Linked DNA regions of Sus scrofa. The protein of the gene in region 2 interacts with the protein of the main gene of each other region in a biochemical or structural test. Links are inferred from orthologs where the notes say so. Each region holds a gene or a part of one and is shown on either strand. Other genes may lie near its edges.

Region 1 (10,403 bases), on a different chromosome or scaffold from region 2:
GTTACAAACCCAACCAGTACCCATGAGGATGTGGATTAGATCCCTGGCATCAGTCTGTGGGTTAAGGATCTGGTACTGCGGTGAGCTGTGGCATAGGTTGCAGATGTGGTATTGCTGAAAATACCCAAATATTCATCAAAAAAAGATTAAGCAAGCTGTGGTACACCCATACATGGAATACTGCTCAGCAATAAAAAGTAACAAACTACTGGAGTTCCTGTTGTGGCTCAGCAGTTAATGAATCTGACTGGCATCCATGAGGAGGCAGGTTTGATCTCTGGCCTGGCTCAGTGGGTTAAGGATCTGACGTTGCCATGAGCTGTGGTATAGGTCGCAGATGCAGCTCAGTTCCTGCGTTGCTGTGGCTGTGGTGAAAGCCAGCAGCTATAGCTCTGAATCAACCCCTAGCTGGGAACCTCCATATGCCGCAGGTACAGCCCTAAAAGGAAAAAAAAAGTAACAAACTACTGGTCCATGTAACAACATGGATGAATCTCAAATGAATTAATCTAAGTGAAAGATTTTTCAAAAGGTTATTTTTTCAAAAGGTTACATATCCTGTGATTCCATTTATACATTTTGGAAAATGTAAAACTAAAACGACAGAGAACAAAGGAGCAGTTGCCAGAGAAGGGCAGGGACAAGGAGGTGAATGCTGAAAGTTTGAGGGAACTTTTCAGAGTGGTGGAAATGTTCTGTATCTTGATTGTGGTGGTAGCTACACAACTGTATCCCTCTGTCAAAATTCACAGAACTGTAACACTAACAGTGGTGAATTTTACTTTATTTAAACTGCATCTCAATAAGCTTGACTTAAAAAAATTGAAAGGCAGACCAAGAGAACCAACATTCGACTAATGTGAGTCTAGAAGGCAGGAATGAAGAAAAACCTAAAGGGAAGAAATCAACAATGAAAACTTTCTAACCTAAAGTTAGAAGGAAAGAAATCAAAAAGATCAGAGCAGAAATCAGTGAAATAGAAACAAAGAAAACCATAGAAAAGATCAATGAAACGAAAAGCTGGTTCTTTGAAAAGATCAACAAAATTGATAAACCCCTAGCCAGACTTATCAAGCAAAAAAGAAGAGAGGACTCAAATCAATAAAATTAGAAATGAAAAAGAATAAGTAACAATGGACACCATAGAAATACAAAGGATCATAAGAGACTACTATATGCAACTATATGCCAATAAAATGGAAAACCTAGAAGAAATGGACAAATTCTTAGAAAAGTACAATCTTCCAAGACTAAACCAAGATGAAATAGAAAAGATGAATACACTCATCACAAGAACTGAAATTGAAACTGGTATTAAAAAACTTCCAACAGGAGTTCCCGTCGTGGCGCAGTGGTTAACGAATCTGACTAGGAACCATGAGGTTGCAGGTTCGATCCCTGCCCTTGCTCAGTGGGTTAAGGATCCGGCGTTGCCGTGAGCTGTGGTGTAGTTGCAGACGCGGCTGGGATCCTGCATTGCTGCGGCTCTGGCGTAGGCTGGCAGCTACAGCTCCGATCCGACCCCTAGCCTGGGAACCTCCATATGCCGCGGGAGCGGCCCAAAGAAATAGCAAAAAGACAAAAAAAAAAAAAAAAACCACTTCCAACAAACAAAAGTCCAGGACCGGATGGCTTCACAGGCAAATTCTATCAAACATTTAGAGAAGAGCTAACACCTCTCCTCCTGAAACTATTTCAAAAAATTTCAAGGAAGGGATACTCCCAAACTCATTCTATGAGGCCACCGTCACCCTGGTACCAAAACCAGACAAAGACTCCACAAAAAAGAAAACTACAGGCCAATATAACTGATGAACATTGATGCAAAAATCCTCAACAAAATACTAGCAAACCACATCCAACAATACATTAAAAGGATTGTACATCATGATCAAGCGGGATTTATCCCATAAATACAAGGGTTCTTCAGTATCCTCAAATCCATCAGTGTGATACACCACATTAACAAACTGAAGAATGAAAACCATATGATCCTCTCGATAGACGCGGAAAAAGCCTTTGACAAAACCCAACACCCAATTCTGATAAAAACCCTTCAGAAAGTGGGCATAACGGGAACCTACCTCAACATGATAAAGGCCATATACGACAAACCCACAGCGAACATCATTCTCAATGGTGAAAAGCTGAAACAATTCCCGCTGAGATCAGGAACAAGACAAGGATGTCTGCTCTCGCCACTACTCTTCAACATAGTTCTGGAAGTCCTAGCCACAGCAATCAGAGAAGTAAAAGAAATGAATCCAGATTGGAAAGGAAGAAGTAAAACTATCCCTATTTGCAAATGACATGCTACTATACCTAGAGAATCCTAAAGACTGTACCAGAAAACTGTTAGAGCTTATCCACGAATTTGGCAAAGTTGCAGGATACAAAATCAATACACAGAAATCGATAGCGTTTCTATATACTAACAATGAAAAAGCAGAAAAGGAAATTAGGGAAGCAATCCCGTTTACCATCGCATCCAAAAGAATAAAATACCTAGGAGTAAACCTACCTAAAGAAACAAAAGACCTGTACTCTGAAAACTACAAGCCACTGATGAAAGAAATCAAAGATGACACAAATAGATGGAAAGATATACCATGCTCATGGATTGGAAGAGTTAATATTATCAAAATGACTATACTACCCAAGGCAATCTACAGATTCAGTGCAATCCCTATCAAATTACCAAACTGCATGGTACTGGCACAAAGACAGAAATACAGATCAGTGGAACAGGATAGAAAGCCCAGAATTAAACCCATGCACTTACAGCCAACTAATCTATGACAAAGGAGGCAAGACTATACAATGGAGAAAGGACAGCTTGTTCAATAAGTGGTGCTGGGAAAACTGGACAGCCACATGGAAAAGAATGAAATTAGAACACTCCCTAACACCATACACAAAAATAAACTCAAAATGGATTAAAGACCTAGATGTAAGACCAGACACTATCAAACTCCTAGAGGAAAACATAGGCCAAACACTCTCTGACATAAACGACAGCAACTTCTTCTCAGATCCACCTATCAGAGTATTGACAATAAAAAGAAAAATAAACAAATGGGACCTACTCAAACTTCAAAGTTTCTGCACAGCAAAGGAAACCTTAAACAACACAAAAAGACAACCCACAGAATGGGAGAAAATCTTTGCAAGTGAATCGACTGACAAGGGATTAATCTCCAAAATTTATAAATACCTTCTGCAGCTTAATACCAAAAAAACAAACAACCCCATCCAAAAGTGGGCAGAAGATCTAAACAGACAATTCTCCAAAGAAGACATACAGATGGCCGAGAAACACATGAAAAGATGTTCAGCGTCACTCATTATTAGAGAAATACAAATCAAAACCACGATGAGGTACCTTACACCAGCCAGAATGGCCATCATCCAAAAGTCTACAAACAATAAGTGCTGGAGAGGGTGTGGAGAAAAAGGAACCCTAGTACACTGTTGGTGGGATTGTAAATTGGTGCAACCACTGTGGAAAGCAGGATGGAGATTCCTCAGAAAACTAAAAATAGAACTACCATTTGATCCAGCAATCCCACTCCTGGGCATCTATCCAGAGAAAATCACGACTCGCAAAGACACATGTACTCCAATGTTCACTGCAGCACTATTTACAATAGCCAAGACATCGGAACAACCTAAATGTCCATCAACAGAGGAGTGGATCCAGAAGATGTGGTACATATACACAATGGAATATTACTCAACCATTAAAAAGAACGAAATACCAGCATTTTTTGCAACATGGATGGACCTAGAAACTATCATGCTAAGTGAAGTCAGCCATACAATGAGACACCAACATCAAATGCTTTCACTGACATGTGGAATCTGAAAAAAGGACAGACGGAACTTCTTTGCAGAATAGATGCTGACTCACAGACATTGAAAAACTTATGGTCTCCGGAGGAGACAGTTTGGAGGGTGGGGGGATGTGCCTGGGCTGTGGGATGGAAATCCTGTGAAATTAGATTGTTATGATCATTATACAAAAAAAAAAAAAAAGAAAGAAAGAAAAAAGAAAACTTCCTAGAAAATTTCCCATAACTCAAAGACAAGAGTTTTCCAGACTGAAGTTCCCACCAGTGCCTCATAAAATGAATGAAAACAGACCTATATCAGGACACACCATCATGAATTTTTTGACTACTGGAGACAAACAGAAGATTCTTCAAGCTTAGAAAGGGAAAAAGGTCACATCAGGAATCAGAATGGTCTCACACATCTCAACAACAAATACAGAAATATAGAAGGCAATATCACAGGAAAATAACTCCCAACTTACAGTTCTACACCCAGCCATACTAGATGATAGGAAAAATAAGCTAATATTGGAAAGGCAGCATCTTAAATATTTTACTTCCCAGACACCTTCAGAAAGCTGATGAATGGCTCCACCAAATCAAGGAAGATGAAGAGAGGGGATGCAAAAAGGAGGGGATCCAATACAAGCGAAGAGGAGGAAGCCCCCAGAATGAGGACAAAGGGAAATCTGCCCTGTTCCCTTGAGCCCAAAACAAGTCAGAGCAACTAGTACAATTTGAAGGAGGCTAAAAGACCTGGGAGAAATGGAACTAATAGAATATTTGATGTGTGTGAATATTCAGAAATAAACATAGACAGCAAAGAGCCTGGGGTTGAACTGGTGATGAGCACAAAGTGCACAAAGCAAAAACACAAGGCACTTCTAAATTTCAAGGAAAAGTTGTATAGCAAATAAAAATATTCATGACTTACTAATAATATAAACACAGATGACTGATCTAATTAAAACCCCAAATAATAGAAAGATTAGGAACCGGAAAGTGTGCTTTAGTGGCAGGGAAAGGATTGAGGAAAGTGTCAAAATCAATAAACACTTAAAACAGAAAATTCAAGAAGTAGCAAAAGCAAGCATGTTATTCAGGGAACAAGCAGGTCAATGCTGTAAATCAATTTCAAGAAAAATAGTTTACTCTGTGGAGGAAAAAACTGGTGGGAACCAGTTTTAAAACTATTTGACTCTTGGAGTTCCTGTCGTGGCGCAGCGAAAAAGAATCCGACTACGAACCATGAGGTTGTGGGTTAGATCCCTGGCCTTGCTCAGTGGTGTAAGGATCTGGCAGTTGCTGTGAGCTGTGGTGTAAGTTGCACATGTGGCTAGGATCTGGTGTGGCTGTGGCGCAGGCCAGCATCTGTAGCTCCCATTAGTTCCCTAGGCTGGGAACCTCAAGGCAAAAAAAAAACCTATTTGACTTTTTACGTACATATGAAACATTTTTATCAGTTATAAAAAAATAAGACCAAGTCCTTGTTCTTGAGAAGTTAACAGACATAAGTACCGACAAAGTGCATTCAAAGCAGTATCAGAATTCAGGAGAGTTAAGGCAGGAAAAATTAATTCTAACGTTTAATGCATATCTTGCTTACTGTGTGTCAGATCCAGAACGAAGTTAAGCGGACCAGGAGAGGATTTAACTGACTGCCAGGCCTACGGAATCGATCATTCATCCTTACTGAGCAGCTGAGGAAGCACACTAATATGAAAAAGTCACGGTCCCTGAGCCCAAACAACTCAAAATCGGCAGGTGGAAAAAAAACACCTACAAAGGTGATTACTACAATTCAGGGTGGTAAGTGCAAGCCTGACTTCAGGACAAGCAGGCGGCTGGGATCTTCACGGATGGAAATGCTCACCTGAGCCTACGTAACCGACAGGAGAGGCGACGGGTGGATAAACTAAGCCAGCTCAGGGTCCAGGCTCCATCCGCTCACGCACCCCATCCCGGGCCAGACCAACCTGGCAGTGTCTTTTCCCAGGGATCTGATCTGCGGTCAAAACTGGCCCCCTGATCTTTTTATAGATGAAGCCTACTCACCGACTCAGCCGCCGCTTCCTGCTGGTCCACCGCTAGGGCCCATGAGTCGGTGGCCATAGTCCCTTGCGCCGGTGGGAGGCAGGTGCTGGCGACCTTGCCCGGGCGATCCGCAATCCTGGGCAACCCTGGGCAACCCTGGCCCCACGGAGGGGGAAGTCATTCGCTCCGGCGCTGGGGACCGGAAGCGGCGCGCCGCAGTGACGTCGGAGTCCGCGCCGGCCTGACAGCCCCTAACCCCATGGACTGTCGCTCTTGCCGCTTTCGGACCCCCACCCCTTGAACTGCTCAGAGTTTCTTATTCAACACGCAGAACTGCAGACTGGGACAGTTATCTTTAAGTGCCGAAGCTCCTGCCAATGGGCTCTCCAACCGAAGAACAAAACCACATTCTTGCCCAGCACAGTGACAAAGATGTCAGAATATAAATAAACGGAATATACCAATACACAAATCCATTACGATAGTGAGCAAAATGAACCTGAAAAAGGCGGATTTTTATTTTATTCATTTTTCCAGGTTGGTAAATTTAAATGTGCAGGTGTTGCCTAGAGTGTCGAGAATCAGCCCTCTCAAACACTGGTTAAAAATTTGTCCCACAGACTGTATGGCAATACATTTACAGGAATTTAATCTTAAAAAAAATGCTCAGCAAGGGTGCTAGGGAAATGTATTCCAAGTAGAAGATCAGAGATACAGAGTAACCGAACTGTGTGTGTGTGGAACTGAACACAGTTTCTCGACCAATGACAAGAACCAGATAAGAATAAATTGGTAAGGGCTGGATGAAAAGGGCTGCACAGAGCAGTTTAATGAGCAAATGAGTTCACTTCAGGGAACTCGCCAATCTGGTGTGACTTTTAGATTTAGCCTTGCCTAGGCTAGAATCCCAGCTCTCTCATGTAAAGGTTCTGTGATTCAGATCATTTTTAAAAAGAAAAGGCGGGGGGGATGGAGTTTCTTGGTGGCTCAGTGGGTTAAGAATCCAGCACTGTCACTGCTGTGGCTCTGGTAACTGCAGCGGCAAGGGTTCGATCCCTGGCCTGGGAGCTTTGCAGGTGTGGCCAATAAATAAATAAAATTTCTAAAAATACTGGGCTTCTAGAAGAAGTAAAATAAGGATTAAGTGTGACACTTTCCCTTAACTGGGATCAAACAAGCTTCTCTTTCCTTGTTACTTCACTAGAATGAAACTGGGGAGTTCCCGTCGTGGCGCAGTGGTTAACAAATCCGACTAGGAACCATGAGGTTGCGGGTTCGGTCCCTGCCCTTGCTCAGTGGGTTAAGGATCCGGCGTTGCCGTGAGCTGTGGTGTAGGCTGCAGACGCGGCTCGGATCCTGCGTTGCTGTGGCTCTGGCGTAGGCCGGTGGCTACAGCTCCGATTCAACCCCTAGCCTGGGAACCTCCATATGCCGCGGGAGCGGCCCAAGAAATAGCAACAACAACAACAAAAGACAAAAAACAGAAAAAAAAAAAGAAAAAAGAAACTGGGTATTTCCCTACAACCTGAGTGAGAAATGAATCCCCACCTCTCTTGTTTTGCCAATAATCCACTATAACAGATTAACTTCAAGTAATAGTGGGCTTTATTTGGAATTTTACCTGTAGACTCTAAGTTAAAATGTTTGGGAAAGGGTAGAGCACTTCCCAGAATCCTCTTCTTGCCATGACTCTTTCTCTCCTGCACTCTTTACAGGGTTAACTTGGGGAAGATTTCTTTGGACCCTACAGGTGAGGGTGTGCACGAAAAAGGCAAACATACAGTCTAACAGGCCATGACCTACAACTCATGTCAGAAGGAATCCTGGAAAGTTCTGCCAAATTATACTGATCACAGGGCTAGAAGAGGTTAAGGAACTTTTAAATTTAATGAGATTAAAAATAATCATCAAAGATATAGGACTGTAAACAGTAGGATCCATTTGTGCAAATATAACAAACTCACATATATGCTTGTACATACTAAGACAGTGTATAAGATACACACAAAACTGGTATCACTGGCTGCTTCTAGTGAGGGGCTCTAGAGACTTCCTTTCATTGTGCACACTTCATCCTTTGAATAAATTTTCCATGTGCATGTTTTCCTTTTAAAATTGTACTTCAGACAAACAAAAAAAGGGAATACTATAACAAACATCTAGATTCCCACCTCAGGACTGAAATAAAACAAGATTCAAATGAAGCTCCTTCCATGCCATCCCGAGACAGAAGCTTTCTTGAATTTTAGTGCTTTTCTTTCCTATAAATGCTTTTAGTATGTACAACTTTTTCTATTAAAAAAAAAAATCTCAAGGAGTTTCCTGGTGGCTCTGTGGATTAAGGGTCCAGCTGTGTCACTGCTGTGACCCTGGTTACCTGTAGTGCTGGTTCGGTCCCTGGCCTGGGATCCTTCCCCTGGCCATGGGTACGACCAAAGAAAAACTTAAAAATAAGCCCCAGGGTTCTAGACTTTCCTATGTCCACTCCCAACACCTGCACCATTTAAGACTCCTACTAAGAAGGAATCGGATTTCCAAAGAGGGGAGTGGAGCGAGGAATCGGGGGAATAAGAGCACCTGGATCAGAATTCCACCTCCAGCATTTTCACTCACGCGACTTTAGGCTGCCCCTGTCTCCTCTGAAATCACGGTAGGCACCCACCTCCGGTCCCAGGACTCAGTGAGATCACAAGATTAAGGCCTTCGGTCCAGTGCCTGGCCAACGGTGAAGGCTCGATTAAATATAAGCTATTATGGTTATTCCTGTTCCCTCCCCTGGGGTGGGGGCGAGGAGAATGCCTTAATGAGGAAAAAAGAGTCTCCTTCCTACCCTCAGAGATACTCACATCGCCCACAGGCAGGGCGAGCGGAAAGCACCCTAGAGCTTGTTCTCGGACACGGCCAGCAGCCCCGGCCATCGTCCTTCAGCATGGCGGTTCCTTCGGCCAACGGCCGCTCACAGCCCCCGCCTCATTGGCTGAGGCCCGGAAGCCGGTCCCGCCAGCCAATCAGAGGGGAGGATGGCAAGCCTGGCCCTGGCGCGCCGAGGTACCTAGGAGCAAAAGGCCTGGGTCTTGGCTCCACCAGGGGTCGCCTTTGGGTATTCGAGACTTTTTCCTTTTTTTTCCACTTTAACTTTTTAAAAGTTATTTTTGGCCAAATGTCAGGCTCCCTCCTTAAACTGGGAACTGCATAAACGCAAGGGCAGTGTCTGTTCTCCTTAATTTTGATCTCTACAGTCTAACATATAACAGACTTATATGGTGAATAAATAGATTAGGAATGCACATACACTCCCCACTCCCCCGATCAAACTTTTTAATGTTTGCCTCTGAACAAATATGTGAAGAAGCTCATTTTCTAGTTTAGACCACTGGTACTCCAAGTGTGATCCCCTAGCAGTAGCATAGATAACACTAGGGGGCTTATTAGAAATGTGCAAAGTCTCGAACTTTGCTCCAGATCTACTAAATCGGGATCTGCATGTTAAGATCCTTAGGTGATTCCTACAGCACTTCATGGTATGAAAAACAACTCTTCAGCCAATTCCATTTGACTTGATGGTAAATAAATGAACATTCAAAGTCCATTTTATAAATGATAAAAGTAGCTTAGGGAGTTCCTATTGTGGCTCAGTGGGTTAAGAATCCAACATAGTATCTGTGAGGATGCAAGTTTGATCCTTGGTTAAAGATCCAAGCATTGCTTGAAGTTGTGATGTAGGTTGAAAATGTGGCTTGGATCCCATGTTGCAGTGGCTATAGCATAGCTGCAGCTCTGATTCAACCCCTAGCCTAGGAACTTCCACTGCAGATGTGGCTGTGGGGGAAAAAAAGTTTGCTTAGGTGCTGTAGAACCTAAGAGTACTTCCTTCCAAAACTAAGTATATTAGTAGCACTATCTTGAGCCCCTGTTACCTTCATCTTGCCTGGAGTTGACGGTCAATCAATATTCTACTGCAGAGCAAGCTCTGTATGTAGCACTCACTCTTACCTGCAGGCTATTTGTTTAGCCCAGAATAAATTAGATGTTTCCTAAAACAGACAACTAGCATGTTGCATTAATATAGTTTTCCTGGGAGTTCCTGTCATGGCTAATCGGTTAACAAATCTGACTAGCATCCATGAGGACGCAGGTTCCACCCCTCTCAGTGGGTTAAGGATGGGCGTTGCCATGAGCTGTGTTGTAGGTCACAGATGTGGCTTGGATCCTGGAGTTGCTGTGGCTGTGGTGTAGGCCGGCAGCTACAGCTCCTATTTGACACCTAGCCTGGAAATCTCCACATGCTGCAGGTGTGGCCCTAAAAAAAAAAAAAAGTAAAAAAAGAGATAGTTTTCCTGGAGCTCCCGTTGTGGCACAGCAGTAACGAATCTGACTAGTAACCATGAGGTTTCCGGTTACATCCCTGGCCTTGCTCGTAGGTTAAGGATCTAGCATTGCTGTGAGCTGTGGTGTAGGTCGCAGACATGGCTTGGACCCTGCGTTGCTGTGGCTGTGGCATAGGCCGGCAGCTATAGCTCCAGTTCGACCCCGTAA
Region 2 (9,082 bases):
GTCAGGGAGAATTGGAGGACGAAGAGGAAGAAGAGACTGACCCTGGGCAGCCTGGGGCTGGCAGGGACACCCACCCTGAGCGGGCCAGCCAAGATCTGGAAGCGCCAGTCAGGTGCCCTCTCCGTGAGAAAGTGAGGTGATGAAACTGGAAAGAAAAGGAAAGGAAGCCAGAGCCAAGCAAGCGCACTGCTTTGGCTACAGGACGGTCTAGCGACCAGAGTCTGGAGGAGTGAGCCCTGTCAGGAGACAGGATGTGGCCGGGGAGGCGGGGGCTCACGGAGGCGGCTTCAGAAGCTGTCCGAGCAAGAAGGAGGTGACAGCCCACCTGTGCTTTCCCGTTTCCCTTCTGAGCAGGTGCCCCAAATGCAGCTGAAACTTAAACTCGCTCTCACCAACAGTTTCAGAAAGATCCCTTTCCCTGGACTAACGGCAAAACAAACAGGTGCACGGGAGCGAGGGCCTCTTTCGGAGGCTCCCCTGGAAGAGAACATTTATGAGTGTTGCCGTTCAAGAATTCTCTATACGCGGACCATGGAGCATCTGCGTGGGAGCCACCTGTGAAGCCCGTTGAAAACTCAGATTCCAGGAACCAACTCAGCTCTGCTGACAGAATTTGACTTGAATCTCGAATGAGGACGCGGCGCTCGTGCGTTGGAGCTTCGTTAAGGGAGGGGCGGCCTCTTCATCCAGCGTGGCCCCGTGTTTGCTACACTTAGGGCCCGAGAGCCGGGGGGAAGAGGCCCCCCCACCGCAAGCCAGGAGGCTGAAGTGGGCATCCACTTAGGATGGTTTGCCCTGCACGTAGGGCAGGGTCTGCAGGGCGAATGCCACCCTGAGGGAGAGCCTACTTGTGCCAGGTGCTCTGTGGGGAGCATGTCATAAACGCCTCCCGACCGCCCTGCACTTTACCACCCAGGGAGAAGCCCTTGTGACACTCGGAGGCGGGTCCCCCGAGCTGGTGAGGTTTAGGGCCAGGGTCAGCCTGCAAGGTCCACACCCCCTCTGTCCTGCCACAGACCTGAGCCGGAAACGTCTCTGGAAGTTGCCAGAAACAGAAAGCAAAACTGAAGGCCGCCGCAGGATGCATGTGGGGATGAGGGGCCACCAGCTCGGGTACTGACGGCTTCACAACACACGAGGGGACTTGTTCACCAGCCCGTTTTGTTCGCTGGGCTTTTCCTGCCCCTGAGAAACCCGATTCGTGGCCTCTGCCACTGCACTGCCCTCTGAAGCACCATGATGAGCACCGACACGTGGCAAAGCCCAGCGACACGACCCAGCTCAAAGGGCTGCCCCGTTTCCTTCCTGCCCGTCCGCAGTTACATAGGTGGAAACACACACTGAGCCAGTGGTGACTGCCCCACTGCACCTGGGGTCCCCTTTACCGGGACCGATCCCCACACCCCAGCTCTCGGTGCTTCTCCGTCTGCCCCTATTTGGGCAAGGCTGGTGCCCGCCGTCTTCCCCAGACAGGCGGGAAGCCCGATATCCTGGGAGCTTGGGTTTCAGGGGGTGTGTGCTGGCTGTGCTCAGAGATGACCCCTGCCACCTACCAGTGAACCGACCCCAAAAAAGGAGCTCAGAGGGGCTCCTGGGCCAGCAGCACATTCCCCGTGCCGCGGCCTGACAGCGATGTGGGGGTTATCTGGCCAAGCACAGCTGATATGGCCTTACAGAGAGATGCCACATGCCACCTCAATGCAGGATTAAGGCAGAGAATTTGAGGTCAAGGGTTTAGGCCAAACCAGCTTCTATTTATAAAAAAGAGCCTCTGGGGGGAACACAGGACAGGAGGTGGCCCTTGTCTGGGCGCTGGTCAGCAGGACATGCCGAGGCAGGTCAGCTCTTGCTGGCAGTCAGAGCTCCCCTAAAGCAAGGCCTCCGCCAGGAGCCTTCCCCTCAAAACCTGAGTGTCTCTGTCTCAAGCTGGCCCCGGTGCAAACCAGGGAGAGCACACGCGGGCGGAACGAGCCCTGCGCCTGGCTGGGTGACGTCTGGGGCTGGCTCCAGGGCCAAGGGGGCCTCATGAAGTGGACACAGGCTCTCAATGCTGCAAGGACGGAAAAGGGGACCTGTTAAGTTATCAGAGTCCAAGCTCCTTGAAGGCCACGGATGCCTTAATGGAAGATCTGGACAGAATCTGACCAACAGCACAGAAAACAGGCTCGGTCACCCAGGGACCTCATTCAGGTTTGGGGTTCCTGAAACCCGGTGAGCTGCACTCTTGAGACGCCCTCCTCTGCTGAGCCAGAGAAACCACTGAATTCTGTGCCCTAGGGTGCCCAGGCCCAGCCTCAGTCCTACTGAATCAGGACGTGCAGGTGTGAGCCTTGGGGGTCTCAGGACCCCCAGGGAGTGGGAGGCACCGGCAGAGCAGGCCCAGCAGAGCCGGTGGTGGCCCGGGGTCCCGGCCGAGGTGTACCCTCTCGACGGCCAGCGGAACCATCAAGGCCGCACTGGCTGCTGTGATGTGACAAACTAAACCACGGGGAACACCTTTATCACAGCCCCTAAAACATGACTTGCCAGCATGAAAAATCTGAACAGCTGCCCCTTTCCAAGCCTCTCCTGCGGATGACTCAGGCCACGGCGTCGTTGTATTCTGGACCCAGAAGATAACAAGGTTTTAGGCCTACGCTTGGTGTGAGGCAGTCCTGGTTGGTCAGCAACTGTCCAGGACATCGCAGGCCTAAGAACTAAAACACGCCCAGACGTGGGCATCGCCGCACCACGAGCAGGCGACACTAAGACTGAAGTCGCCACCTCCAGGCCGTCCTCGGGGACACTCCTGCAGTGACGCTGGGCGGCGGCAGCGTCTCCTCAACTCCCGGCTCCACCCAAGGGTTACATGCCCTGTGGTTCATGGACAAGGAGCCGGGAGGGGCCCCCATCGTCACTGTCACCTACTGGACATGAAAGCTGTCTTCGCAATCAACTGCCCAGCGCTCCTCAGAGCAGAAGACCTCACCAGCAGACACATGGCATCGAGGGCCAAATGGAGCAGACAGACAGACGTGCTCCAAGGACAGCACACCTGTCACCAGACCACACCCCGTCTTCCACACCTGCCTCACAGACACCTGGCCCGAGAGGCGCGAACACCCCTTCGGAAACTCAGCCGACGCCGGCCGAAGTGAGTCTCTTTGCCTCCACCCAGTCGTGAAGCTGGCACCTTGAGGGGCCCGATACCCAAGAGCAAAGACCCCGGAAGAAGAGACGAAGCTCTGGCCTCGAGAAGGCGGCTGGCCAGCACCGGCCTCTTCCCGGGGAGACCAGGGGAGGGCGTCTGGGACAAGCCCCTGCCTGTCCACGTCCTGCGCGGGACTGGATCCCGCTGGCCCTCTGGGAGGACACACACGGCTGGCGGGCGGAAGGCCGTGCAGGTTTCTCAGAGCCACAGGAACAAGGAGAGGCCTCTCCTCGGCTGCGGCCTGAGAGCGGGCCCACGCGTTCTGTGCAGAAACAGACGAAACGGTTTAATAGCGGGGGCGGGGCAGCGCATAACCAACACAAACACAGAACCAAACGAGCAGGCCAGCAGCTCCGGAGTTCGGTGTCTGCTGCTTCTTTCTGGCTGTGTATTTCAGCGAGGATGCCCACTTCAAAGGACTGCTCCGGGGCTTCTCAGCGATGAGGCGCTGAGACGCAGCTGGCTGGTCGCGGGAACAGAAGGAAGGGAGCACCGACAGGCGCTCAGCTCCTCCAGCCACCGAAGCCCTGGACGGACCTGCAAGGAAGTGCCGGGGAGGCTGATCAGCGCCTGCTCAGAGCAGCGGCTTCCAGACTCACGCGGCTGCCCGCGGGCTCTGAGTTTTTAATGTCCCGCAGCTCCACACAGAAGCACAGGGTGAGAGCCGGAGAGCAAATCCGGTAATGGGCTTGGAGCCCGGGAGGCAGCGTGAGGCTTCGGAGACCCGCACAGGGACGTCAGGAAAAGCATCTCAAGTCCTGCCTCCCAGGCCCTGCCCCTCAGAAGGCACGCTCTCTCCCTCCGGGGCGCGGCCCTGCGAGCAGCACCCTGTCGTCAGCACCTCCCGCCCTCTGCCCGCCGAGTTCTGCACGTCCGCAGAACCCAAGAGCTGCTGCGACCCGCCAAGCTTCCAGGACAAGATTTTGCAGCAGGAAAAATGGCCGCAAGCTACACACGCAGAGCAAAACCCAGCATTTTCACATATCAACACTCCTGCATCCTTATTTAAATGACGCAAAACTGGGAAAGATACTTACGAGCTAGACGATCCAAAGCTGAAACCTGAAAAAGAGGGAGAGGGGGCCGTTAAGCCACACGTACGTTTGAAAGACAAAGGTGGTCTCCAGGCCACGTTCTTCCCCGTGCGTTTCCCCAGGGAAAGCCCTGCTCCTCCGGCCGCGCGGGAAGGGCCGTGGCCTTCTGGGTATTGCAGGGTCCTCCCTCCTCCCCGACCGGCGTGGGCAGAGGGCCTTCGGCACGGCCCCCTCCCTGCCGCACCCACCACACAGGTCCCCCGCGTTAAGAAAGCGTGGTTGCTCCTCCCCCTACTTTCCCATCCACCCGCCTCCTCCTCGTCTGAGGCCAGAGCAGCAAGACACTCGGGTTCTAGTTTTCGTCTTTTGTCTTTTGAGGGCCGCACCTGAGGCACGTAGAAGTTCCCAGGCTGGGGGTCGAATCGGAGCTACAGCTGCTGGCCTAACCACAGCCACAGCAACACGGGATGCGAGCCGCGTCTGCGACCCACACCACAGCTCACGGCAACGCCGGATCCTCAACCCACTGAGCGAGGCCAGGGATGGAACCCAAGTGCTCACGGGCACCAGTCGGATTCGTTTCCGCTGTGCCACGGCGGGAAGTCCCAAGACACTTGGGTTCTAGACCTCGCTCTGCTGCTCACTGTCTGTCGCCCTGGAGTTTCTGGATCTTTGTTTGTAAAACAGTAACGAGGCCTATAACTTCTGTGTCTCACATGTATTGTAAGGAAAACAGCAGACCGTATATATCCTACTGTGTGCAGTGGAGTGTCAAACAGACGAATGACGTTTGGTAAAGTATGTGTTGTTTTTATTTTTCTGTATCTTATTTCTTGAGTCTGCTGGCTTAGATTTTTACATCAAGATCTAGTAGGATGGTTACTTTTTGGGAATCCTCAAATCCTGAGAGAAACATCAAGTGAGCCATCTCATTATTCGATAAGAAACGGCATGTTCCAAGTCTAATCAAAACCTTAAAAGAACACGCTGTCTTCCAAGCACCTTCAGCCTTTCACATACTGGACTGAACGGCCAGGAAAGGCCCCCCTTCTTTGGGAAGGGTTGGGGGCCAGGCGGGCATTTACCGAGGAAACCAGGAGGGCCCCTGTGCGGGAAGCTGTCTGGCCGCCTACCTCCTCCGCCTGATCCAAAGCCGGAGAACCCCCCGCTCTGGGTCCCAAACCCAGAAGACTGTTGGGACAGGGAGCCAAAAGTTGGAGCGTTCTGACTCGCCAGGGTGCCGAAGGACGTGGTGTTGCCGCCGCTTCCAAACCTGGGTTGGGGTGAGAGAGCAGACCGTGTCAGCGAGGCCACGGGGCCCCCCGCTGCCCAATGGCCTCAGTCCGTCCTCCTGAGTCCTGAGAGGCACGACACACACGATTCGAGGTGACGGGCTCGGCTTAATCTGGCAGCCTCTCAGGGAAAACAGGCTAGAGCCCGGCGCAAACCTTCCCCTCCGCTTTGGGGGAAATACAGTCTGAGGACCCCTGGTCCAGTGTTTCAGTCTCCATCTGACTGTCTGGAAATTCCAGGTCACTGGTCCTGCTCTAATCCCACTCCTGCCTCGGGCCTCTCTCATCCAACCGTGGGGACTCCTCAGATGCCAGCCGGGTCAGCGACGGCGTCACAGCCCGGGACCTGAAGAAAGGTGACGGCTCTTTTGGGGATTCCGACCAGAGCTGGCGCCAGGGAGCCAGCCAGTCAGGATGTACATGGGAGAGTAGCCTCCCTGGTCAAGGCAGAGCATGATCCTTTCTTACCAGTGAAGAAAACAGCTGGTTTCAAATAAACAAACAAACCCTCGAGATTCCCAGTCAGCTGCAGCATCACGGGCTGGGCGGTCACTGGCGAGACGAGTGTCCGTCAGAACTGCCAAGAATACTGGCTTAAAGGGATCCCAACCCTCCCTTGAAAGCGTTCCTTAAGTCTTGGGGTTTCCTGACTTCCTGGGAGCAACTCAAAAGACCCATCAGTCTCCATGCAAAATCCAAAAAGTAGGACTTGCTCGCGTTCCTCGAGCCTCTCCAGCGCTTCTGAGCCAGCATCTTCCACGGGGGGAATGGCCATGAATAAGGACCACCTAAGGTTTTTTTTTGGCTGTGCCCGTGGCACAGAGAAGTTCCACAGCAGTGACTACACAGGATCCTTAACCCGGCGAGCCACTGGGGAGCTCCAGGACCACTTAAGTTTATTTTCAAGACAAAGGTGCTATCGCCTCACCAACACGCAACCCAAGCACCCTGCCAGGTCTCCCCAACGCTTCAGCTTTACACGTCCTGGGCCAGTGCGGAGGCCACCGGAGGCCCCTCTGACGTGGATTTCAGACATTACTACCTCCTCTGAACGGGCCTCTTTGAGGCCATCAGCACGTATGTTTTAGTGGGGCTGTGGGCTATGTTCTCCTTGGGGTTTTGGTAAGCAGACAATTGCTAGGGCCCTTAACAGCAAGTCTCTAGAATGGCATTTTCAAGTGAGGCCATGCACAGGCAGTCTGAGCAGCTTCAAAGGCTGAGCAGTCCTGAGACTGCGAAACGCGTGCGGGGTCTCGGTGCCGCCTGCTGTGGAAGCTGGCCCAGGGGCTGCGGGCCCAATCCCTGCCCTGCGCGGCTGCAGTGGCGCAGGGGACACAAGGCCTGGTTGGCTCAAGGACAGAGGGTCTTCTGCACAACAACCCCGAGAGGAAAGAATCTGGTGAAAACGATTCATTCGGAATTTCCTATCAGAAGTCATCACACAAGGGTCAGTCCGGGCTGGAGCCAGCCACGGTGAGACGGATTTTCTTCCTGTAACCAATCCTCCGGCTCCACCCGGAGACCAGGCATCCACCAACCAGCACCCTCTGTACCGAGGGACGGCCACACAGCTGATGGGATCGTGTACTCGACAGAGCCTGGCTTGGCAGAAACGGGCCTGCCGCTAGGAAGAACAGGAATCCTAGAGCGCCTGGTTGGCTGATTTGGACGGAGGGGCTTTCAGCTCAGTCAAAAGTAGAGAAAACAGAACTTTCCAAAACAGGAGCACCGGGCCCTGGTGCTTTGCTGACCTGAGCTTGAGGGCTTCCCCAGGCCTCTCCCGGGGGGCTTACCCGAATCCTCCCGCGCTGGCGGCCGCTGTACCCTCTCCGAACACTTTGCCTCCCGTCGAGCCCAGAGGGCTTGTAAAGGCTGGGGCTGAACCGAATGCTGGCACCCCTCCAAACCCAGGGGATCCCCCAAAAGTAGGAGGGCTGCCAAACACTGGAGCAGCACCGAAGCCACCTGAGCAAAACAGAGGCAAACAGAAATAGGGAGAAAGAAAGAAGACAGGAAGAGAAGACAGTGAGCAGTGAGAAACCAAAAGAGGAAGGGAAAAAAGGGAAAAAAACATTAGAAAGTCAAATACAAAAAAGTATAGCAAAGGACAATACCCCTTCTCCAGCAAAATAATAAAACCACCCCGGATGCCAAACCATGACCACCCACCCTCCACAGCCAGCAGAGGGGTCTGGGGTCCACTTAGGAGAGCTCCCTGGAATTCTGAGAATCTAGCAGACCCTAGACGTCTGGGAGACCCCCGGTCCCTCCCAGAGGCAAGCTGGACACGTCAGCGCCACGTCTCCCTGGAGAATCTGAATGCCACCAAGAACCACCTTGGTGCATGTCAGACCCCTGCCCAGCCCCTCTGCATGTTCTGGGCTCCTCAGTGAAAACCCTCAAGACTCCAATCCCCACCCAGCTGTCAGAGGCCGCATCTCATTACTTAGCACCGTGCAGGCTGGGCGCCTGCTCCAGGGAGACACAGACTCTGAAACTGGAGGCTGAGACCCCGCTTCAGGGAGAATCTGGGAGCTGCGTTAGTGGAGAGGCATGGCCCTGGCGCCCGGCCAGGCGCTTTTGACTAATTTAGAGCCGCCTGGCTCTCGCATCTCTCCCTGGAGTCTCTCTCCCATACGGAAGAATTTTTTTAAACGCTCTCTCTGCGCAGTAAGGGACGACTCCTCAATCAAGAGGCACACGGTGCCTGGAGGAGGGCTGCTGCAGGAACGCGAGAAAGCGATCCATCAGCCGCGAGGGGAGCCCCGCATCCAAGACCCCCCCCACCCCCGGGTGGGCTCCGGGGCCCCCGGCGCAGGAAGGGTCAGGCCTGCGCGGGGTGGCCTCCCTGACTGGTGGAGGCCCACGAGGCAGGAAGAGCGGCTCCGTCTTCTGCTCCGGAAAGCGGGTCCCCAGGCCCCGAGCTGCTGCTTACATCATTCCTGGCCATTAGTACGGACACTCTATCACATTCTAGACTCTCCCTACATATTATACAGAGCAAGTGTCAACTGAACAGCACGGGGCAGAATGGACCAAGAAATGTGCTCTCAAGGACTGTGCTGCTGACAATGACGACTGGCCTAGGAGCTCTGGGGGCGATGGTGGCCTGGGCACAGCCACCAGGGGACTTGCCCAGGGACAGGGGACCTCATTCAGGCCCCTTTCAGAAAGCGAATCCTGCTGTTAGAGGGCCACTCAGGCCTTCTTACTCCAGGTATAACCACAGCCTGAGCTTCTGCCTCTGAATCGGAAAGATCAAATACTGGATATGAAAGGCTGTCCGTGGGATCCCTTCGCTCGCTGCTACCTGGGGTTCAATCGTTTGCCCATTTGCCTTTAGCAGCAGAAGCACAGACGAGATGGTACCTCCTGTGAGGCTCCTGTCTGGGTTTACACTCTGCGCTTTAAACCCTGAGTGAAATTCCAAGCCGTGGCGACGGAGGCCGCTGGGTTACAACTGTAACAGACTGGAAAAAAGAAAGTGCTAAAAACCCTTGCCGTTGAATTATTTAGGACGGACGACAGATCTGGTTACACTTTCTTCCTGGACCCACAGGCTTTAC
Region 3 (10,399 bases), on a different chromosome or scaffold from region 2:
AATGCATCCACACTGAGAAATGTAATTATAGCCCAAAGCTGGGAAACCTGATACGTTTGTTAGCTTCTCTGACATAAACAGGGAATCATACAATTCATGCTCCAGTGTTTGGCCAGAGATTACCTGATAGTCTCGTGACCACCTTCCCAGGACCTTGGACTTGCAGTCACCAGCCCAGCCTTTCCTCTCACTTGCCTACTTGATTCCCAGCCTTCACCAACTTTTCTGTCCTCACAGCGCACGATGGTTTCTGCTCCCTGCGACTCCCTTTGCAAAGACCAGGGTTCATATTTCGTTTTCAGGATTGCACATGCACGTTAGCTGGGAAATGTTTTATTTTCCTCAGCAGCCTCTCAAGAGATTGCCATTCATTCTTCTGAGGACTTCTCTATATCCTGAGAGACATGTTCTAATATCGGGCTTTTCTTTTCTTTTCCTTTCTTTTTTGGCCATGCCTGTGGCACGCAGAAGTTCCCGTGCTAGGAATCGAACTCAAGCCACAGCAGTTACAATGCCAAGTTCTTAACCGGTAGACTACCAGGGAACTCCCTTGGGCTTTTCTTTTTTTCTTTTTATGGCTGCACCTGCAGCATATGGAAGTTCCTGGGCTAGGGGTTGAATTGAAGCTACAGCTGCTGGCTTACACCACAGCCACAGTAATGCCAGATCTGAGCCACATCTGAGACCTACACGGGATCCTTAGCCCACTGACAAGGCCAGGGATCGAATCTGCCTCCTCATAGACACTATGTTGAGTTAACTTGCTAAGCCACAGCAGGAACTCCCCTGGGGCTTTTCTTTATCTCCTTTCTGTCCGTATCATCAAGTTTTTCTTCCTTTCTCACTCAGAACCAGGGTTTCCTGACCATAATGGCCTGTGACCTTTCCCCCGTTATTACAAAGGCAATACTGCTTATCAGAGAAAAATCCATAAATACTGATGTGCAAAAAATTATAATGACTAACATTTTGGGTCCTTTTAGTATGAGTTAGGCACTCTACTCATTTAAGACTGACAGCAGCTAGAGAGGTGTGGTTTGTGTTATCTGAATTTTCTCCTTTGCAGTTGAGGAAAATGAGACTTGGGGTTAAGTGACTGGCTTAGGGTCATATGCTACAGAGCTGATTTTCAAACCAGAGCCAAGATTTGTTTATATTACCCTTCCAGAGCATTTTCTGGAAGGGTAATATAGATATATTTTTTTGTTTTGTTTTGGTCTTTTGTCTTTTTAGGGCTGCATCCACGGCATATGGAGATTCCCAGGCTAGGGGTCAAATAGGAGCTGTCGGTGCCGGCTTACACCACAGCCACAGCAACACAGGATCCTAGCCACGTCTGCGACTTATACCACAGCTCACGACAACAAAAGATCCTTAACTCACTCACTGAGCGAGGCCAGGGATCAAACTGGCATCCTCATGGATGTTAGTCGGGTTCATTAACCGCTGAGCCACAATGGGAACTCCCCTCTTTTCTTTTTTAAACGGCTGCACCCACAGCATATGGAAGTTCCTGGGCCAGGGGTTGAATTCAAGCCTCAGCTGTGGCAATGCCGGATCCTCTAACCTAACCCACTGCGTTGGGCTGGGGATCAGACCCGTGTTTTTTGCAGTGACCCGAGCCGATGCAGTCGGATTCTTAACCTACTGTGTGCCACAATGGGAGCTCCCAGAGCTCTCCCATCTACAAATACATGTACACACACACAAAAATACATTTCAACAGCATTCCTTTTAATCAAGTGTCACTCTTTTTCCCCTCCTCTCGGCCCTCTCTCCAGGATCGACGAGAACGTGCTAGGAGCCCAGCTGGACGTTGAGGCCGCCCACTCGGAGATCCTCAAGTACTTCCAGTCGGTCACGTCCAACCGGTGGCTTATGGTCAAAATCTTCCTCATCCTCATTGTCTTCTTCATCATCTTCGTGGTCTTCCTTGCCTGAACCCTCTCCAACGCTGAGGCATTCCGTGGGGGTTTGGAACCCTCCTGGGAGGGCAGGTGGCCAGAGCTGCCACTGAGCCTGTGCAGGGTGCTTGGGAGAAAGGCCCTGTTTCCCTGGAACTGCTAAGAACGGCCACTGCCCCTGATCTCCCACTCCTTGCCTCTGGCCACCCTGTCCTCCCCTCACCATCCTCAGGCCCATGAAACACACGGTTCTGGATTTGGACTCTGCTGTGAAGTGGCTGGAAGGGAGCAGAGGCCAACTGGAGGGCTCTTCGGGGAGGTTGTCTCCACTGGAGATTTTTATAAACCCTCCCCAGCCTTTCTCAACTCTGGCAGCAAGGGGAGATGATGCCCTTCCCCACCTTCCTGAGAGTGAGGAGAGGAAGTGAAACTTCCCCAGGGACCAACTTTCCCATCTGGGTTAAAATTTACCTCTTCCTCTCTTCACCATGTGAGGCAAGGGGCCCTGAGCCCTTTGGCTGCCTACACAACCCCAACTCTGGCTGCAGATGACTCTCAATCTGCCAAATGTGCTGCGGCCCGTTTCCTCCCAATTACAACAAGACTGTCAGCCTCACTAGCCATGTCGTCATTTCGGGGTGGGAGCGTCGAAGGGCCTTGGCAGCAAGTGGAGTGAGCCCACTGCCCAGCATCATAACTAAAAGGGTTGGGCTGATGGCCCTGACGGGCCAGGCTCACTCACTCTGTGCACACAGCTGCCTCCCGCAGGGGGTTTCCAGGTGTAGCAGCACTTAGTTAGCATGGAAACTTCCCTTCAGAGGCCCGTAACAGGATCCCAGCCTGGGTCCCTGATTGACGGCAACTTCCAGGACCATCTCCAGAAGTATTTGGACCTGTCTCATCTGCATGCTCCAACCATTTGGCCCCAAACTTACTTGCGCTGGATGAAGTAGGAGCCCTGCCTGCTGCTAGGAGTGAAGGTGACATGAAGAATCCGTTCCCAGCTCCAGCTGAGGCTCTTGGTCCCCTTGAAGCCCCTCACCACATCCAAGCCAGTCAGAAGAATGAAGGAGTGACCTGCCTGGAACACCCACCCTCCAGGGAGGTTAATATGCTTTCTAGTCCTGACCAGGACCCAGAACCACATCATCCTGCATCACTGGAGTTCCCCCACTTCACACACCCGAAAGGAAGCTCAAGCTGTAGAGACAACAGTCACTATACACTGTGCTGGCCCCAGTACTTTGAGGGGTCCAGGAGAGCCCAGGTCTTTCCTAGCCATGGCATTTTAATATTTCCTCTCCCTTTGGCCTGTGTTCAGCGTGTGGTCAGGCTGGCCTCCTCACTGCCCAGTTGACACAAGACGTGGGTTTAGCATAGCACATCCCGGTGGGTTGGTGGGTGGGTTGGTTTGTGAAGACAGCCAAAGCCTGGCAAATGCCGTTTTTCTCTCCTTTGATTGCAACTCTCTCGGAGGGAATGCATAGATCAGTAGTTATTTCACAAATATATGTTGGGTTCCTGCTGCGTGCGTGCTAAGTATGGTATCCAGTCAGGTGCCGGAGAGAAAAAGCCGTGAATTAATCAAGCCCCTGCTCTCTAGGAGTTTACCGTTAGTTTTCTATTTCATTTTATAGGCGAGGAGACCGAGGCCTAGATCTGCAAGTGTCAAAGGGCTGAGCTGAGACTTGCCCTGGCTGGATCCTTCTAGGTGTCTATGTGCGGTCACTCCCGCTCCTAAGGGCCTGGTCTCCCACTCCTCGGAAGCCCTTCCTGTAGCCCCTCTTCCCTGTTCCTCTCGGAATCCTGGGCTGCAGTAGCCACCTCTCCGCTTCACCGCTGACCCTGGAGGTGCTCCAGCAGAGAGCTACTAGCGGCGGGGTGGATGAAAGCAGGGGGCCGGCGAACCCGCGGTAACTCGGCTTCCCAAGCTCAGGTCCTGGGCGGGGCGTGCAACGCCAAGTCCCGCCCCCGGCTAGTCCGCTCGTCGAATGCGCACGCGCGTCTCCCAGTGGTTCCGCCCATCACCGTGGGACGTCGGCTGCGCGCGACGCGCTGGCCGCATAAATGCGGCGGCATCCGGCGTAGGAGCACTTCAGCCGGGAGAGCCTGGGCGTTCGGACGTTTGCCGGTGTCGCGGGCCGCGACAGAGCCCGCCCCTGCTCGCTGCGCCATGGCGGACGAAGGGAAGTCATACAACGGTCAGTGCTGGCCCTTGGGTCGGGGAGCCGGTCGATCTTGGGCCCTGCTGGGCTGCGCCAGCCTAGGCCGCAGCGCCGGGGCGTGAGGCCGCGAGGGGCCCGGCGTCCACGGGGAACGGCGGTGGCGCGGCGCGGGCCCGGGGCGAGGCAGCCCGGGGGCCTGGGTGAGCTTGAGGGTTGGGTGCCGGGGTTGTTGACGCTGGGATCCTCCCTTTGCGGGCCCCTGCGACTCGGAGAGGTGGCTCAGTGGTGGGGTGATGAGATTCCTTTGAACTTTGTGGGTGGTTGATGCCTGTCAGTTCAATTTGGCGGCCAAACTGTTTAATGTGAGTCAGTGCCCTTCTCCTGGGCTGATGTGCCCTATTTTCTACCGCGCGTCCAGGCGATTTTGCCCCCTCCCCCACCTAACGCGTCTGTCGCTTAGGCTTAATATTTTAGATCTGCACATCAACTCGATGTTCTGGTCCAAACACTACACTGAGTTTTAGTCCAGAGCGGTGGTTAGGAGCCGAGGTTTCAATCCCGAGTTGGCTATGCCAAGCTTGAGTAACTTACACCCTCAGACTTCGTTTTCCATCTCCTTAATGAGGATAGAAACAGTACCAGCCTTCTGAGTTTGTCTCCGTGTGTGTGTGTGTTAAAACGAGATCATTCATGTCAGGTGCCTGGAGCATAGTGCCTGACACTGGAGAAGAGTGCTCAGTGAATGTTAGCAACGACTTGTGTGCATTTATTACTTTTTTCCTAGGGTAACTTCTTGAGAAACTCATATTTTTAGTTTTTTAAGGAACCTCCATACTCTTTCCCGTAGTGGCTGCACCAGTTTTCATTCCTACCAACAGCGTAGGAGGGTTGCCTTTTCTCCACATCCTCTCCAGCATTTGTTTTTGTGGACTTTTTAATGTTGGCCATTCTGATTGGTGTGAAGTGCTACCTTATTGTGGCTTTGATTTGCATTTCTCTAATAATTAGTGATGTTGAGCATCTTTTCATGTGCCTGTAGGCCATCTGTATCGTGGGTCTTTTTTTTTTTTTCTTTCTTTCTTTTTTTTGCTTTTTAGGGCCCCAGCCGAGGCATATGAAAGTTCCCACGCTAGGGGTCCAATCAGAGATGTAACTGCTGGCCTACACCACAGCCACAGCAACGCCGGATCCTTAACCCACCGAACTAGGCCAGGGGCTGAATCCGCATCCTCATGGATCCTAGTTGGGTCCGTTAACCACTGAGCCACGCAGGGAACTCCTTCATGGGTCTTTTTTAAGAAGCGCTTCCTACACACCAGGGTTCAGAGGATCATATTCTTGGAGAGGACCCTTGGTGAAGCATCCTAACTGCCACTGGAACCTGAATTCAGGAGTTGTCTCCTTAGTTAAAAGCCTTTTCTGACCAAGAAAACAAAGAGCTCACTCCCAAACGTTCAGAGTGGCAGTTTGAGAATAAGACTTTTAAAAGAAGCCCTTAAATTGGTCCTATCTGTGTGTGGTGTTTGTATTGTATGGGCAAAAGGAGAGCTGTTTCCCCGAAAGCTAGTGTAATCATGAGGACGGATTTGCCACCTGTGAGAGGGGTCACCTCGGGGTTAAGTAGATTTGGGTGGGCCCACAGAAAGCGGATGTCGGGTGACTTTTGAGGGGTTCGAATTGTGTCCAGTTACTCTGGGTCACTCACACTTCACATTCACTTGAGAGTGGCAGTTGGAGAGCAAGATTTTTTTTTTTTTAAATCTTTTTAAATTGAGGAAGGTTGATTTACAATGTAATGTTGGTTTCAGGTGTACAGCATAGTCATTCCTGTATTTATAGATTACACTCCATTAAAAGTTATTGGAAAATAATCGTTGTCATTCCCTGTGCCGTACAACAGATCCTTGTGGCTTATCTCTCTTATACTTAGTAGTTTGTATCTCTTAATCCCATATCTTGCCTTATCTTGCCCCTCCCCCTCATAACCACTAGTTTGTTGCCTGTATCTGTGAGTCTGTTTCTGTTTTGCTGTATACATTTTATTTTTTTAAATTCCACCTGCAGGTAATGTCACATAGTATTTGTCCTTTTCCCTCTGGCTTATTTCACTAAACGTAATACCCTGCAAGTTCATTCATGTTGCAACTATGGCAAGATTTCATTCTTTTTGATGGCTGAATAGTATTCCGTTATGTGTGTGTGTATGCACCACATCTTTATCCATTAGTCTCTTGGTGAACACTAGGATCGCTTCCATAGCTTGGCTACTGTAAATAGTGCTACCGTGAACATGAATCTTTTTGCATTATATATTTCTTTCTAGATGTATATCTAGGGGTGAAATTGCTGGTGGTCATATGGTAGTTCTATTTTTAGTCTTTTGAGAGGAGAACAAGACTTTAGAAGATGCTTGTGGAGTTCCCTGGTGGTTCAGCAGGTCGAGGATCTGATGCTGTCACTGCTGCAGCATGGGTTTGAGCCCTGCCCTGGGAACTTCTGTATGCCTTGTGGGTGCAGCCAAAAAAAAAAAAAAAAAGGTCTTAAATTGGTCATATTTGTAACTGACATTTGTGCTCTATAGGCAAGAGTCCTGTTTACCAGAGCTGATGTAATCATTGAGATTGGTTTTTCCCCTTGTGATTGGTTTTCCTTTGTGATTGGTTTCCCAAGATATAATCACTGACCACATTTCCAGTGGAGTTAAGTAGACTTGGGCACTTGAGAGCAGGCAGTTTTCAGGTGACCTGACCGAGTGTGAGTTGTGTCCAGTTACTGCTCGGGACACTCGCACTTCCACATTCTGCTTCTCCTTTGTAGTTCCAGTTTCTGCTTCATTTTTCTAAAGCCTTATACACAGTTTTCCAGGGATGTTTCCCTTTTGCTGCCATCCCACGGAGAAGGTTCTTTCCCTGGCCAGGCAGAGGAGTTTGCCAGGAGGTGGGCTCTGTCGTGATTGTGTGTCTCCTGTCTGGTAGTGCAGGGTGCTGGATACTGGGATCGCCCAGTAGGGGAGCTGAACCAGGGATGTATTTTCTAATTTGTGTCCCGTTTCCAACCCCAGAGCACGATGATCGAGTTAGTTTCCCTCAAAGAAGGAAGAAAGGCCGAGGCCCTTTCCGGTGGAAGTGTGGCGAGGGGAACCGGCGCTCTGCAAGGGGAGGTTCTAGCATTCGGTCTTCCCGCCTTGAGGAAGATGACAGAGATGTGGCAGTGAGCGACGCCCAGGATGTTCCCCGACTACGATAGTGAGTAACCAGTTTGTCCGGTTTGAGTTCAGCGACCCGTTTGTTTCCGTGGCCTTCTCACCACAGTGCGTGTGTCATTTCTCTTCGTTGCTGGACGAGAGAGACATGCCAGAACCAGCCTCCTGGTTGAACAGCCGTAGGCCTGGTCCGGACACCAGGGCACGAAGGTCCCCGAGAAGACAGGCCTCACTTTGTGGATGTTTGATTCCCTCCTTCCCCCACAGCAACCCCTATGCTCCGCGACCCAACCGTCGGGGCGATGGTTGGCACGAGCGGTCTCGAATTCACGTCACGGTGCCTCTGCGGAGAGACAGAGTTCCTCCAGAGAGGGGAGGAGCCGGCACCAGCCAGGATGGGACCTCAAAGAACTGGTTTAAGATTACAGTGAGTGTCTTGGCAAGGGCGCAGAGCCGGGGTGCTGGGGGGCCGGGCCCAGGGTGAGGGGTTTCCTTCGCACATCACAAGGTTGGGCTTCTCAGCGGCTCACTCCACAGTCAGGTGGCCATTCTTTCTCCTTAGAATCCCTGTCTTAAAAAACCTATGAGCAGGTTCAGAAAAGGAGAAGGAGACAAGTGGGATTGGGGGGGGCATCTAAAGGGAAATGTGGCAACTGTGGTTGGGAGCTGGACTGACTCCTCCGGATTTCTCCATCGCCCTCAAGCCCAGCGTGGCGGCTGGGGGCCCTGGGGTTCTCTGAGCCAGGCAGGTTATCAATGACACCTTGCAACTTTTAGAATCAAGCAATTTGAGGAGTTCCCTGGTGGTGCAAGGTTAAGGATCCAGGGTTACTGCTGTGGCTTGGGTCACAGCTGTGGCACGGGTTCAAAACCTGGCCCAGGAATTTTTCAGGCCACAATTAGGTCCCCCCCCCCAAAAAAAAGAAACAGTTTGATTCTTTTGAGGAAAAATTCTGCCCAGTATAAATAGACAAAGAGGAGGTTAAGGAATCTGTGTTTGGCTTGAATAGAAAAGCTTTCACTGGCCATTTCTTTCGAAAATGTTTTAGAGCTGGCCGGTGATATGAAGAGAGCACGAGGGCAGGCCTGCTGGTCAGCGATGGTTGTACGCTGTTCCCTTTTCTCTCTCTCTCTCTCCTCCAGATTCCTTATGGCAGGAAATACGACAAGTCATGGCTCCTGGGCATGATTCAGAGCAAGTGCAGTGTCCCTTTCACTCCCATTGAGGTAAACTCCGGCGTGAGTGGCTGGCCGGGCCCCAGGGGAGGTGGAGGTACCAGCTGGGCCAGGGGCTCTGGGCTCCAGGCCTGACACTCTTGTTTCCTCTTCCGGCAGTTTCACTATGAAAACACACGGGCCCAGTTTTTTGTCGAGGACGCCAGTACCGCCTCGGCATTGAAGGCTGTCAACTATAAGATTTTGGATCGGGAGAACCGCAGGGTGTGTGCAAAGGGCCTGGCGTGCTCGGGGGCGGGGCTTGGTGCTCAGGGCTCCGACTGAGTCTCGGTCCCGGGGCTCGGGCCTCCCCGAGTTCACCCTGCCCCGGGTCTTCCTTGTCCGCAGATATCTATCATCATCAACTCCTCTCCGCCGCCCCACACTGTGCAGAACGAGCTGAAGCCGGAGCAAGTCGAGCAGCTCAAGGTGAGGCCGGTGGGCTGAATGGGTGTGTCCTTCCAGTTGTCACCCCCCACACACACCCACCTACCCACCCACACACACACACACACAGCCCCAGAGACTGCTGAACTGCTGCTGAACGCTTTGTCTTCCTCTGTAGCTGATCATGAGCAAACGATACGACGGCTCCCAGCAAGCCCTTGACCTCAAGGGCCTCCGTACAGACCCAGGTACGGTCCACAGCAGGAATGCTTAGACGGTTGGAGACAGAGGGGGCTCAGTCCGGCAGAGAAAGTTGGAGAATGGTGCGGGCCCCAACACCCCCTCAGACTGACTTCCCTTTCCTTCCTGAAGACTTGGTGGCCCAGAACATCGACGTGGTCCTGAACCGCAGAAGCTGCATGGCAGCCGCCCTGCGCATCATCGAAGAGAACATCCCTGAGGTGAGGCCTTTGTCCCGCCCGCGGGGCGTGAGGACACGGGGGTGGTGTAGATGGGAGGGGCCTTCATGGCAGGCTTGTTTCTAATCCCCTCGCTGGCCGTGCTTCCTCTAAACTCTTCTCTCCCCACAGCTGTTGTCCTTGAACTTGAGCAATAACAAGCTCTACAGACTGGATGACTTGTCCAACATCGTGCAGAAAGCACCGAATCTAAAGATCCTAAATCTCTCTGGAAACGAGGTGAGATGGAGAGCCTGGTTGTGTTCTGAAGGGGGGGTGGGTGGGCAGAGGGTGCTGACCGCGGGAGACAGGGGGCGGGCGTTTCAGAGTCGAGGGGGATTACGGGGGGCAGGGGGGCACGAGTGGGGATCCAGCTGGCTGCCTACCCGCCTTTTCCCCCCTCCCTTGCAGCTGAAGTCTGAGCGGGAGCTGGACAAGATCAAAGGGCTGAAGCTAGAAGAGCTGTGGCTCGATGGAAACACCCTGTGTGATACCTTCCGAGACCAGTCCACCTACATCAGGTCAGTTGTAGCCTCTGTCTCCCCTCCTGGGGACCTTCACCCCCCGGGAGGCTGAGCTGCTGCCCCCTGACCAGTGCCCATCTGCAGGAGATGTGCAGCCCTGAGCTGGAACCACCTGTCCTTTGGGAGGATCACGTGCTCCTCCCTCTCGTCTGTCCGTGTCCCCAGCTTGGCCCTGGTCTCCTGCCCTTCCTTCCCACCTGACTGCTCTTTGCTGGTTCTGTGGCCTTTCTCCCTCCTTCCTGAGCACAGCCTTTTCCAGACTCTCCCTGCCCTCTGTTCCAGGAAGAGCATCTCCCCTTTTCTCCCGTGACCAGGGGGTGTCGTGTATGTGCCCCACACGTGGGGTTGATTTGAGCAGCCAAGAGCCTGCTGCCCCTGGGCAGAGAAAGCCCTCCCTCCCCGGGGCTTCTGCTGATGGGCCTTCCCTCCTCTGCACTTGGGCCAGGAGGGCCCGCTTCTCTCAGTCCACGCGCCCAAGGCTGCCGCCTGGGCTTCCCCGCCCCCGCTGAGGTGGAGGCCTCCTGGGGGCTGCTGCCAGGCAGAC

The links.
Region 1: the proteins of NUP214 (region 2) and DDX19B are reported together in a solved structure, tested with the Homo sapiens proteins (2 studies listed by IntAct, with this or other methods). The link is inferred for Sus scrofa from reciprocal best matches to the Homo sapiens genes NUP214 and DDX19B.
Region 3: the proteins of NUP214 (region 2) and NXF1 form a complex in vitro, tested with the Homo sapiens proteins (4 studies listed by BioGRID and IntAct). The link is inferred for Sus scrofa from reciprocal best matches to the Homo sapiens genes NUP214 and NXF1.

Annotation. Positions count from the first base shown.
Region 1 is NC_010448.4:13,323,922-13,334,324, reverse strand, and holds the start of DDX19B (ATP-dependent RNA helicase DDX19B), read right to left. Parts: upstream 6,085-10,403; 5' UTR 5,946-6,084; coding exon 5,889-5,945; exon of another isoform or gene 5,450-5,888; intron 1-5,449. UniProt on the Homo sapiens protein: ATP-dependent RNA helicase involved in mRNA export from the nucleus.
Region 2 is NC_010443.5:271,204,664-271,213,745, reverse strand, and holds the end of NUP214 (nuclear pore complex protein Nup214), read right to left. Parts: intron 7,482-9,082; coding exon 7,310-7,481; intron 5,498-7,309; coding exon 5,358-5,497; exon of another isoform or gene 4,253-5,357; coding exon 4,228-4,252; intron 3,728-4,227; coding exon 3,694-3,727; 3' UTR 3,454-3,693; downstream 1-3,453. UniProt on the Homo sapiens protein: Part of the nuclear pore complex. Has a critical role in nucleocytoplasmic transport.
Region 3 is NC_010444.4:8,965,991-8,976,389, forward strand, and holds the start of NXF1 (nuclear RNA export factor 1), read left to right. Parts: upstream 1-4,077; coding exon 4,078-4,105; intron 4,106-7,130; coding exon 7,131-7,314; intron 7,315-7,538; coding exon 7,539-7,698; intron 7,699-8,414; coding exon 8,415-8,498; intron 8,499-8,606; coding exon 8,607-8,711; intron 8,712-8,834; coding exon 8,835-8,915; intron 8,916-9,051; coding exon 9,052-9,121; intron 9,122-9,245; coding exon 9,246-9,334; intron 9,335-9,463; coding exon 9,464-9,571; intron 9,572-9,742; coding exon 9,743-9,852; exon of another isoform or gene 9,853-10,399. Other genes in the region: STX5 (syntaxin-5), read left to right, coding at 1,782-1,941.